Linked DNA regions of Neodiprion lecontei. The protein of the gene in region 1 binds, or shares a complex with, the protein of each later gene. Links are inferred from orthologs where the notes say so. Each region holds a gene or a part of one and is shown in the gene's direction. Other genes may lie near its edges. The genes, in order: protein fuzzy homolog and ciliogenesis and planar polarity effector 2.

What was found.
Region 2: the proteins of protein fuzzy homolog (region 1) and ciliogenesis and planar polarity effector 2 are in contact, whole or in part, in a cryo-EM structure (PDB 7Q3E), measured with the Mus musculus proteins. The link is inferred for Neodiprion lecontei from reciprocal best matches to the Homo sapiens genes FUZ and CPLANE2. Residues at the interface, in NP_081652.2 of Mus musculus: Arg26, Arg35, Ile109, Val110, Lys126, Glu127, Arg129, Ala130, Tyr132, Cys133, Asp136, Gln215, Ala216, Ala217, Arg218, Asp219, Tyr220, Pro221, Tyr223, Pro232, Leu238, Thr239, Leu240, Leu241, Arg242, Pro255, Leu256, Gly257, Gln258, Pro261; in NP_001074643.1 of Mus musculus: Glu36, Gly38, Leu39, Leu40, Glu41, Arg42, Val83, His84, His85, Glu86, Thr88, Gly89, Ile90, Gln91, Thr92, Thr93, Val94, Lys124, Phe125, Met128, Glu134.

Annotation. Positions count from the first base shown.
Region 1 is NC_060262.1:40,691,097-40,695,991, forward strand, and holds protein fuzzy homolog, read left to right. Parts: upstream 1-1,956; 5' UTR 1,957-2,020; coding exon 2,021-2,098; exon of another isoform or gene 2,099-2,107; coding exon of another isoform or gene 2,108-2,146; intron 2,147-2,345; coding exon 2,346-2,738; intron 2,739-3,033; coding exon 3,034-3,231; intron 3,232-3,351; coding exon 3,352-3,551; intron 3,552-3,658; coding exon 3,659-4,052; 3' UTR 4,053-4,355; downstream 4,356-4,895. Other genes in the region: beta-galactosidase-1-like protein 2, read left to right, coding at 41-228, 313-557, 640-1,153. UniProt on the Homo sapiens protein: Probable planar cell polarity effector involved in cilium biogenesis. May regulate protein and membrane transport to the cilium.
Region 2 is NC_060266.1:22,996,964-23,002,246, forward strand, and holds ciliogenesis and planar polarity effector 2, read left to right. Parts: upstream 1-1,944; 5' UTR 1,945-2,017; coding exon of another isoform or gene 2,018-2,187; exon of another isoform or gene 2,188-2,358; intron 2,359-3,169; 5' UTR 3,170-3,218; coding exon 3,219-3,318; intron 3,319-3,813; coding exon 3,814-4,088; intron 4,089-4,093; exon of another isoform or gene 4,094-4,232; coding exon 4,233-4,369; exon of another isoform or gene 4,370-4,488; coding exon 4,489-4,696; 3' UTR 4,697-4,735; downstream 4,736-5,283. Other genes in the region: non-lysosomal glucosylceramidase, read right to left, coding at 266-549, 984-1,164, 1,301-1,389, 2,018-2,187; gamma-aminobutyric acid receptor exp-1-like, read right to left, coding at 4,885-5,031, 5,094-5,207, 5,276-5,283. UniProt on the Homo sapiens protein: Required for efficient primary cilia initiation, regulating a late step in cilia initiation. Plays a role in the final maturation of the mother centriole and ciliary vesicle that allows extension of the ciliary axoneme.

The DNA of each region.
Region 1 (4,895 bases):
AATCCTTCTTTAATATTCGTTTTGCAAAACTTTTTTCCAGATTATGATTCGCCAATAACTGAAGCAGGAGACTACACACCGAAGTATCATAAAACCAAAGAGATTTTGGCAAAGCATCAAACTGTGATGACCAAATTACCAGATTTACCTGCAGAATCATCAAAAGTAGCTTATCCCACTCTGAAAATATTCGGTCATTTGGATTTTGAGGATATCCTTGATCAGTTGGTGGGTATTTTTCTCTTTACCAATGAAACCTGCGTCCTGCCCTTTTTTTGCCTCTGGTTTTTTCAAATATCTTATGTATTACAGCCTGCAGACTTGAAGGTGAAATTATCCAATGTGACCAATATGGAAAACTTGCCAATTAAAAATGGCAATGGCCAATCTTACGGATACATAAACTACCGGAAAAAGGTTGCATTGAAAACCGCGTCTACCCTGAAAATCTCTGGGTATGTGCAAGACACAGCAATGGTGCTTGTTGACGGAGAGCTGAAGAGCAAACCACTAGAAACTGAAGAAGATATTAATGGCTTTGGTTATTGGATGCAGAAGTGAGTTTTAGCACTTACCGGTCAAATAAAAAACGTGTATTTTCAGTTGATAAGACACTGACATGTGAATCAATTGTTTTAGAGATGCTGAGTTAACATTGAATTCTGATAAAGCTGGGGAAAAAACTTTGGACATCATTGTAGAAAATTGGGGACGTGTCAACTTTGGTGTCCTTGCTAATTTTGATCAGAGAAAAGGTTTGTGGCAAGGGCCAGTTTACGTCGATGACAAAGAGCTAAAAGATTGGGAAATCTATGCTCTTGAGTTTGATTCTAAGTGGGCAAAGTCTCTAACTAATTGGAAACTGGGACCGCCCTCTATCAGCACTAGAGGTCCGTCCGTTTCCCGATTCGTCATAAACTTAGCTTTACCTCAGGATACATTTATTGATTTGCGTGGTTGGACAAAGGGTTTGGTATTTGTAAACGGTTTCAATTTAGGGCGGTACTGTCACCTTGGACCAACAAGGACCCTTTACTTGCCAGCGCCTTTACTTAAGAAAGGACAAAACGAAATTTTAGTATTTGAACATTTCAAGTCAGATATTGAACTGAGCTTCTTAGATTACCCTATTTTGGGAGATTTGAAACCCTGAAGTAACAAAAAAAAAAATGTGAGAGAGCCAGACGTCATTTCTGATTATAAGTGTCATTTTACACCCGAATATCTGTCAGGGACATTTACATACAATTTCGTCAGTACCGCATGATGTTTCATGAAATCAGTTGTTGAAAGAAACGGTCACAAAGCGTTTCGTACATAACGCCAGCTTTTTTAAATACTTATCCAAGTATTGATGAAGTTCAAACATCAAAAAATAAGAACCAATTAAGCATAGTGAAGCGCTTTAGAAATCGTATAAACATATTCATTGTATCAAATTCAGGTTTGACGTCTTCTCATATCTCAATATCTTATAAATATAAGAAAGCAATTCATTAAATACGTAGAAAAAATCTATAGACAACTGAGTATATTTTATTATTTTAATCTGTATTATACTTGTATAATAATATGAATTATATGTACTTATACATATATCTATGGAAAAAGTAGAATCTTGGCAGACTTTTTGTAATGCGCATTCCTGTACAACTGGCTTTGTTAGAAAAGGGGCTATACTTCCTGAAATTTGTTAATAAAAAAATTAGGCCGTACAGCCAGAGAGAAACCTTCAAAGTTACATTACAAAGGCTTATCCAAAAGCTTTTAATTCGTCATTCTACATATCAATATACACAAGTTACCACTTTCGCAACTTTGGCCCATTCTGTACTCGTGTATACTATACCTATATCTGTGTATATCATGGGTTAATGACCTGCCCATCTACCTGCCCATGCTGGTTCAGATCCCATTCCCCTGTTCACAGGTATTAAACTTCAGGTACTCACGGCTGTGAGAACTTTGCTAAAGTACCTAAAACCTAAAACTCATATCTATAATTCTTTTTTGCTGTAAAATGACTGCTCATGTACTGTGCTTAACATCTTCCGGAGGAATACCAGTTTTTGTCCGAAAAAAAGGGGACGGTGATATGGTACAATAAATGATTTTTAACCCAAAACTTCATTGCAGTATAAAATCTGTAAGAGATTTCAATCACTGCGAATGCAAAAATACACTTCAACATTAATTGTGAATCGATTTATTTTTATAGTTGTATCTCTCTACCTTTATAACAAAGTTTTTTTTGTTCCTATGCAAATGACTGAAGTATACGAAATGCTCTAATCTTCAAAGATATTGGAGAAATTCAACTTTTATATCATGTCAAACTATTTCAGATAACGTTTTCGAAAATGGCATCGCTGAATGGTGTGCACATGTTTTTGAAGTCCCAGAACATTGAGCTACTGTGCACAGACATGCCGGACACGAATGTTGTCTGGAAAGAATTCGAGGATAGCATATTACTGATAGCCATAGCCAGCGGTACAACAAACAATGTTCTAAACAGATTTCTAGAAGCTGTTTTCAGTGCGATGATCCTCATCGTCGGTATAGATGAAATAAAAAATCCAAGGAATGTTGAGAGGCTAAAGCGAGACCTGCGTGTATGCAATCCAATTATTGACAGATTACTGGAGTGCTTAGACATCGGAGATCGGATATGCGCCAAGACTGACTTGGTCGATATGACTGACAGTATTATGAGTCCCGAGAATCACTTACTGCAGGTATCAAAGCTACAAGTTCTTTGTAAACAGCAGAAAATATCTCACAATTCTATATTTTTTCATGGTGATTGGCTTATTGATTGAACAAACATAAAAACAAATCTTGAAATTTTTCACAGTCAATTATCTTATGAGAGAAATAGCAGGTCTACTTGATTATAGATTAGTCTATTTGAATACTTGACTGTAATATGAACAAAACCAGAAAAAAGATGATGTGATGCGCAGATCATTTTAAAATGCAAGAAATTTAATTGCCCATCATTATAATTTCTGTGTTTGTGTTTTGTACTAGAGCTGCCTTGAAGGGTACATGGAATGTCTGGATTCTTTGTACGGCTGCCTTTTAGTGCATGGCTGCTTGGCGGTTGCGACTGAGAGTTGGTGGTCTTTGGACCCAATTGAAAGGAAATTACTAATAATTGCAGCAACTTGTGATGGAACTTGCACAGCGAGAGATCTTCCAGTATTCCTTCCAAATAAGAGTCCGAATGTATGAGACGATCATTTAAATATTTAGAAATGAAGTGCCTACGCGAAATGGCATCTAAAATCTTCAATAGATGTTTAAATTGATCAGCCTTACAGTTAAGAAAAAAATTATTGATTTCAGGTCGCCTTCAGATTGGTCTCTGTTACTCTGGTGAATCACGTTGAAGTTCTAGCTTTGTGTGGACCAACACCCGAGTTGGCCGAAACGGAACGATTGGCTATTCAGAGTTGGCGGAGTAGTATAGACATTCTGCGAGCTGCCGAGCAATGCTATCCCAGAAATTTTCCTGCCAGTGTATCATTGGATTCTGAGATATTAGGGTAAAATAATCTGAAGATAATTATAGTAGAGTTGACAGTAGTAAACTTTGCCCCTGACGGAAAGGAACCAGAGATATAGGGTTTATTAAAAATTTTTTCGATTCCAGATTTTTGTTGGCCAATCATGTGATAGGAAAATTTGTTCTGAGTCGGAATTCCCAAAACTCGAAGAACCGAGTCAGTGGAACACATAGATTGGATATTTTAAGAACATTTTACTATCAAGCTGTGGAAACATTTTTGCTTTCCGGCCCGTCTTCGAATCGAGATACTGAAGAAATCGACAAGTCGGTAAAGCCGTCGAAGTCGAAACACGGGCAGGTATTCGAAGGTGCTAAAGAAACTTACTGGTGTTCAGAGTTTCACAAATGTCATGCTCTCAAAGAGGGCGAGTATGTCTTTTGCGTATTATATACGTCCATAGTTCCTACACATACGATGAGACTTCTTTCCCAAAAAACTCTCAAATCGCTCCTTGCTGATAAACAAGTTTTTTGGTAGCAGTTTCTTGAAACTGTTTTTGTTTAATTATATAACGACATCGATTATTCGACTATAACATATTATACAGCTGTTAATATTTTTATAATAATAATTTCTGAAAATAAGCCTAGTGAATAAATAGAATTATATAGATACTTGACCACATTAGAACGTTACATACTTGTAGTATCAGAAAACTGGAGAATATATTTTTGTATGGAAAAAAACATAATTTTATCTTATATAATAAGAATCAAATTTTATACCAATAGATCAAAAACATAGTATGAAATTAGTTGTGACACTACATTTTGAATAATATGGGCTTCTTGACGTAAACACGCTTTTCAAGCAATTTCAAAATAACAATTTGTTTTGTTTCAGCTCAAAAATAATTTTTAATGTACGGGGACCGTGTATCCTGGCTCTTCACTATATATTCATTGATTTTTGAGGATAAAACATTACCTCAATGTTTCTGAATTTTTTTAGTTAGTCTTTATATTGTGTTCTGTAACCGTGAGCTATCGAACCCTCTTATTGTCATTAAATTTGAGAAACTGCAGATTTTTTAAATCTGTTCTGATCTCTCGACTTATTGGTTTTCGCTGGGCACATTTTGCCACCTTACCCATGTATCTAGAAATGATTTGCATCTGAGAACAACAATCCGCACGGCTGTGTGTCCGGTACATAAAGGCGTCGATGCGGATTTTGCATTATTAATCATGGCCCAAGATACTGGACATAGTGCCTGATTGATAATGACATATAATATGCATGCGTGTACAATAGATTGCCTGCCCGCAGGCGGAAAGCATCGAGCTTGAAAATGTGCGTATTTCTTCAGTTTCTGTCATG
Region 2 (5,283 bases), on another chromosome or scaffold:
CCTATTTGTATTTATTCTTGAGTGTCACTCTGATACATATTAAACAAAAGTAAGAAATCACTTTTGCATAAAACTTTTCTAATCAAGAATAATATACCATATTTTTAGTTAAAAGGGAGTTTCACTGTAAATAAAACTACAAACGCGAGTTCGAGAAAAAACCTGACGTGATGGAATTTTGTATTGTTCCCGGTTTCAGAGAGTGAAAATCTATACTGTGACACGTAAAGATGATTGTTTCGAATAACTTGAATTATTCACGAACCTTCCTTGTCGCTGATTTTGTTTCCGTTACCATTCCTGAACGTGAACGTGACACTGACGTAGAGATCCTGATCGGAGCGGTTTTCAACGTCCCAAATGAAGACAGCGCAAGGCAGTGAACTGTCTTTGTAATTATTCGGTATCACCGGAGACACTTGACGACACGTTAATCTAACTTTGTGATCCTCTATATCGTAGGTTGTCCAAGCACGAGGGTAAAGCCCCGTATACGAGGCTTTCGAACCGTCAAATCCCCATTTCCAAGACTTCAGGCATTTCGGTTTGCTAAAAATAATAAATACGGTCAGACAGGTGTGTCAACGGATAGTTTCGCTACAAAAATTTGAAAAATTGAATTGAACGTCAACATTTTTCTACAAAATTTTCTTTTTTCATAACGTCCCTGGTGAAAATGATTTCTACAATTTTCTACGAATTTTTAGAGAATTTGTAACAGTACGTATAATTTTACAAAATTGTAAGTATGCATAGTTTCTCATAAAATCTTGTAGATTTGAATGAAGATTTGTATTTTTTTAGTGAAAAAATCTAAATGACACAATTTTTAAACAAAATTAATAATTCTTCATGAAAAACTATGCATATTTACAATTTTGTACGAAATAATACGAAATGTTCCAATTTCTGCGTAAAGTCGTAGTAGTAGAAATTTTCGCCAGGGGTGATAAATATTTATTTTAGGATATTAATAATATCACCTCTCGGTCGACAGAACTTGATGGTAAACAGTTTTTCCGGTGGCGTCTTGAATCGTGAGGATGAATTGATTGGCCAGAACAGTTTCGTACTCGTATATACCAGGTCGCAAACTGTATCTGCAGAATTCGCCTCTGAACCCGCGATTCATCGACCCACCTCCAATTCCGCCGATTGGTACACCTGCGTGTATAATTTTTCGATCTGATAATTGAGTACAGACTAGACAATGAGTTCCGGGTACATCTTAAATATCACGGAGTGAAGAAACATAAGAAAAACCTGAGGTAAAACAAGATGAAGAATTCGCTTTTCTCACCGTAAATCTGTTTTCCAGTCTGCATATTTACGTAATCCATCATTGGTCTTCGACCTCCTCTCGTTGTCCTTGCGAAAAACGAGACATACCTGCAAAAATGGCAATGAAAAATTAATAAAAACTCAATGATTCGCTAATGTTCGCGTTTTCATTATCCAGATGGGACGATTGATTGATTTTTAAATACAAATTATCAGTTTGAAATTCAGTACCGAATCAGTTCACAGAAAATCTAATATCAATTCCTACATTCGGACTGCGGTAGATCCGGATTTCCTTTAATAGTTTGCCGACGTGATATAGAATTTAAAAAATGAAGAGTATTAACAACCTAAGCGTTTCATACAGTAAAATATGAATTCCATGTTTTAGAAATCCAAAAATCGATAAGCTCTTGATGTTTTCTAATTCGAACCGTTCAAATACCATCAGAAACGTTTTGAAAATCTATCATTCGACATTTAAATCGGATAAACGAAAAAAAAAAATGTGCTGGAAAAAACTATTCCTGAAACGTTGAATTTCAAATATTCAAACTCCGTTCGAATTTCCCGCCATTCGAATTCACGCGCTAACGTCGTGCAATCTGAATAAACGAGCGAGTCGGGTGCGCAATGAGTTGTGCGCATGTTTACTCGGGGCGTTTCTTACGCGACTAGATACCGCGTTGTTCACGTTATAAATAATTGACTGGAAGATGCAAAGCATCGAACGAACCTGTAGGCGAGCGGCAAAAGCTGAGGAAGTTGCTTGAGGCGCACGGTTGCAGCTTGTTTCCATTTTTCTGGGTACTTGTGGTTGAGTTTTAACTTAAAACCGTAATCCGGCGGGGGTTTAACGACCCGCTCGACTTTTCCGTTGACTTTCGGGGCCTGAACGTCGTCCATGACGATTCGACGCGACGCCTGGATTTAAACGACTATGCGCGTCACTCGCTCGACGCGATTAGACTAAAAGCGTTTAAGGTTTCCTGGTGCGTTTAGAAGGCCCGTCGATAGAATTCGGCATCCTCGACTTTGTCCCGCTTATCAGCGTAACGCAACGCGGCACACGTGCATGTAATAGACCAGTAAATAAATTAAGCATGAAAGTTACCACTTTTTCATATTAAGCCGGAAACTTGATCTAAGGGTAATTCGATGACGCTGAATCAAATGGTGATAATAATTTTGCAATCAACCGCCGAGATTATTGTAGAAAAAAAAGTTTAAACCGTAAAAATCGGAACCTAATAACTTTGTCAGAAAATAAGTCAGACAAAAGTTGATGGGAAAAAAAAATAAAAAATCTTGAAAAGTATCCTATCTTCGTCTTCGTATTTTCAGAAATAAGGGAGAAAAAACCGAAAATCAAGCATTCGATTCGAATTACACTTAGATCAAGTTTCCGGATTCATACTTGAAAAGTACTATACTTCACTATATCCAGTGAATGCGGTGTCGATTGTTGCTCAACGATATCGAATTGTCAGCTACCGGTATGATAACATGAGGAAAAGCTGTTGTAAATATTCAAATCGCCGGTGTACAATTATGTAATCATATTTGCGACCGCTGTGTCATTGAACTGTAAACACTTTCGATAGGTACAATTGTAACGAATGGACGTTTTATCGTATTATCTATAAAGTAGCTTATCGCCACGTGTGCGTAACAAATATAAATATGGGCGGTTGATATTGGAATGATTTCATCAGATGGTTGAAAATTATCTCGTATCACAGAAAATATTGAGTAAATTCTTACAAAAATTTCAAAAACATAATTGAGACAATTTTTTCACCTCTACTTTTATCTCAATTCCAAACTAGAATATTATATGTAATCTAGAAATGGATTTTTTTTTCTGTTTACATTGACACATCCGCAGCAAAGTGAGGGAGAAAATTAAAAGCTGATTTTTCAATCTCCTTTGTAAAATGAGTAACGCGATAAAAATGGACTGGCTCAGCTCCGCCGAAGGCGAGTCGTTACTGCATCACTTTTACGCTCGTTCGACTAATAAGAGACGATTTTACGGTACGAAGGTTATACATATTAAATATTAATGGGCATAACATACACAACGTCTAATTACACTTGCCAATAATTTTTTTTATAACAACAAGGAAGATGCTTACTGATTTTGAAATACCTATCTACCCTCATCGTTATAAAACCATATATACTTTGAATCAATCAGGTCTAGATTTTGTGTTACAGCTATTCAGAGCATTTTGTTACTTACTATAAACGCCAGTTAATTAATTACAATAAATAGCAAAACAATCTTAATCAAAAAAGGTACAAAGTTTTGTTGACCAGTGTACTGTAACACCATATACAACCTGATATTTGTTCACAAAAACTGTATTTTTGAAAAAAACTAAAAAAATCATACTACAATAAAACTATTCGTATCTAAAATATTCTAATATCAATTCTATTACACTAAACCTTGTTCCTAACATAATCAGTTAAAATTTTTCACGTTACACATAAAAATTTCGATCTGAATAATTTAAAACCGTGCAGGTATATTGGAAAGACCACCGATACCATCGTCGATAGAAGAAGTCTCGTACAAAATATTCATGGCAGGAAAATCGGGTGTCGGGAAGACTTGCGTCGTGTCGCGTCTTTCCGGAATAAAAGGATCATCGTCGAGCGGAGTTTACGTCGAAACGAACGGTATAAAAAGAACGACGATATTCTGGCCTGTTAAAATATGGGACAAGGTTGTACTGTTCAAATTGCAATTCTGGGACGCATCTGAGAACAGCATCAAAAAGTACAGCCACATTTTACCCGTTGGTATACTTTAATATTATATGTATATATTTAATCGATTAATCGATTTCGATCGCCTAAAATATCGTGAAAATATCACCGCACATCACTTTAATCGTTTATTCATTTCTCTTTTTGTTTTTTTTTTTTTTTGCAACCTGCAGGCCTGCAAAGACAAAGTCGACGCGATTTGCAGTGTATTTTCCTTCGACGATACGGCGACTTTCAACGACCTTCCACAGCTGATGAACTCAATGGCAGCGACGAAAGAAAAACCAGCTAGCATCGTGGTCGGAACAAGGTGACGATATCGTTTATTTGTCAGATAATTTGATAGTATAAATCCGAGGAAAAAAAAACAAAGAAGCAGAAATAACGAATCAAAGAGTGTTTAAACAATTTCAGTTTCGATTTACGCAGGTACAAGGTTTGGTCGACGCTCGCCGTGTCCGATGTGCAGGTCAAGGAATTCGAAGACAAGTGGAAAGTGAAAGTGATAAGAATAGATACCAACAAGGCGGTGGCGAGACCCGAAATCTTCGATTGCTCCTATCAGCTGAACTGGATTTGTTCGGCGCTTTGGGACAGAGACCAAGAATTTATATCCAAACAAGTCGTACAAGTTTGATTCGACCGAAAAGATAAAGATTTTATTACAACAATCACACAAAACCTGCAATTGTAGTTTAACCGTTTTTGGTCCCAATGACTGTTGGATCCGTCCTAAAAAGAAAAAAAACCGTTGAAATAGAAACAACATAACGTATAAAACGCTGGGTAGAAAAATTTAAACAAATAAAATTTATACACTTACTCTCACCAATTGATCGTATAAATATTTTCCCCTTCGCCGTTGAATGCCGTGAAAAATATGAGGGTCGAAATTAGCAAGCCTAACGGATGCAGAAACGATATAACTTTCTCCATCCAAACGATCCATTTTTTACCAGCCTCGTGCTCGTTCTGTAAAAGAAAACGGAGTTTAATATAGCTCAGACTTTAAGCTTAGACTTAGAATCCTCCACCTCGTTGCAGCCGAAATTATCCACATCTGCCGGATTTAGATGATGAATTAGGATGCTCTCGGCCAGCGGTATGAGGATTAGAACCAGACAGATCAGAAACCAAATATCAAGGGCCTGAAAGTCGTTCAAAAGCTTAAGTGAAGCGCCGTAGTTAATCTTGGCTGTTGGCTTATCAAGTTTACCTTCAAGT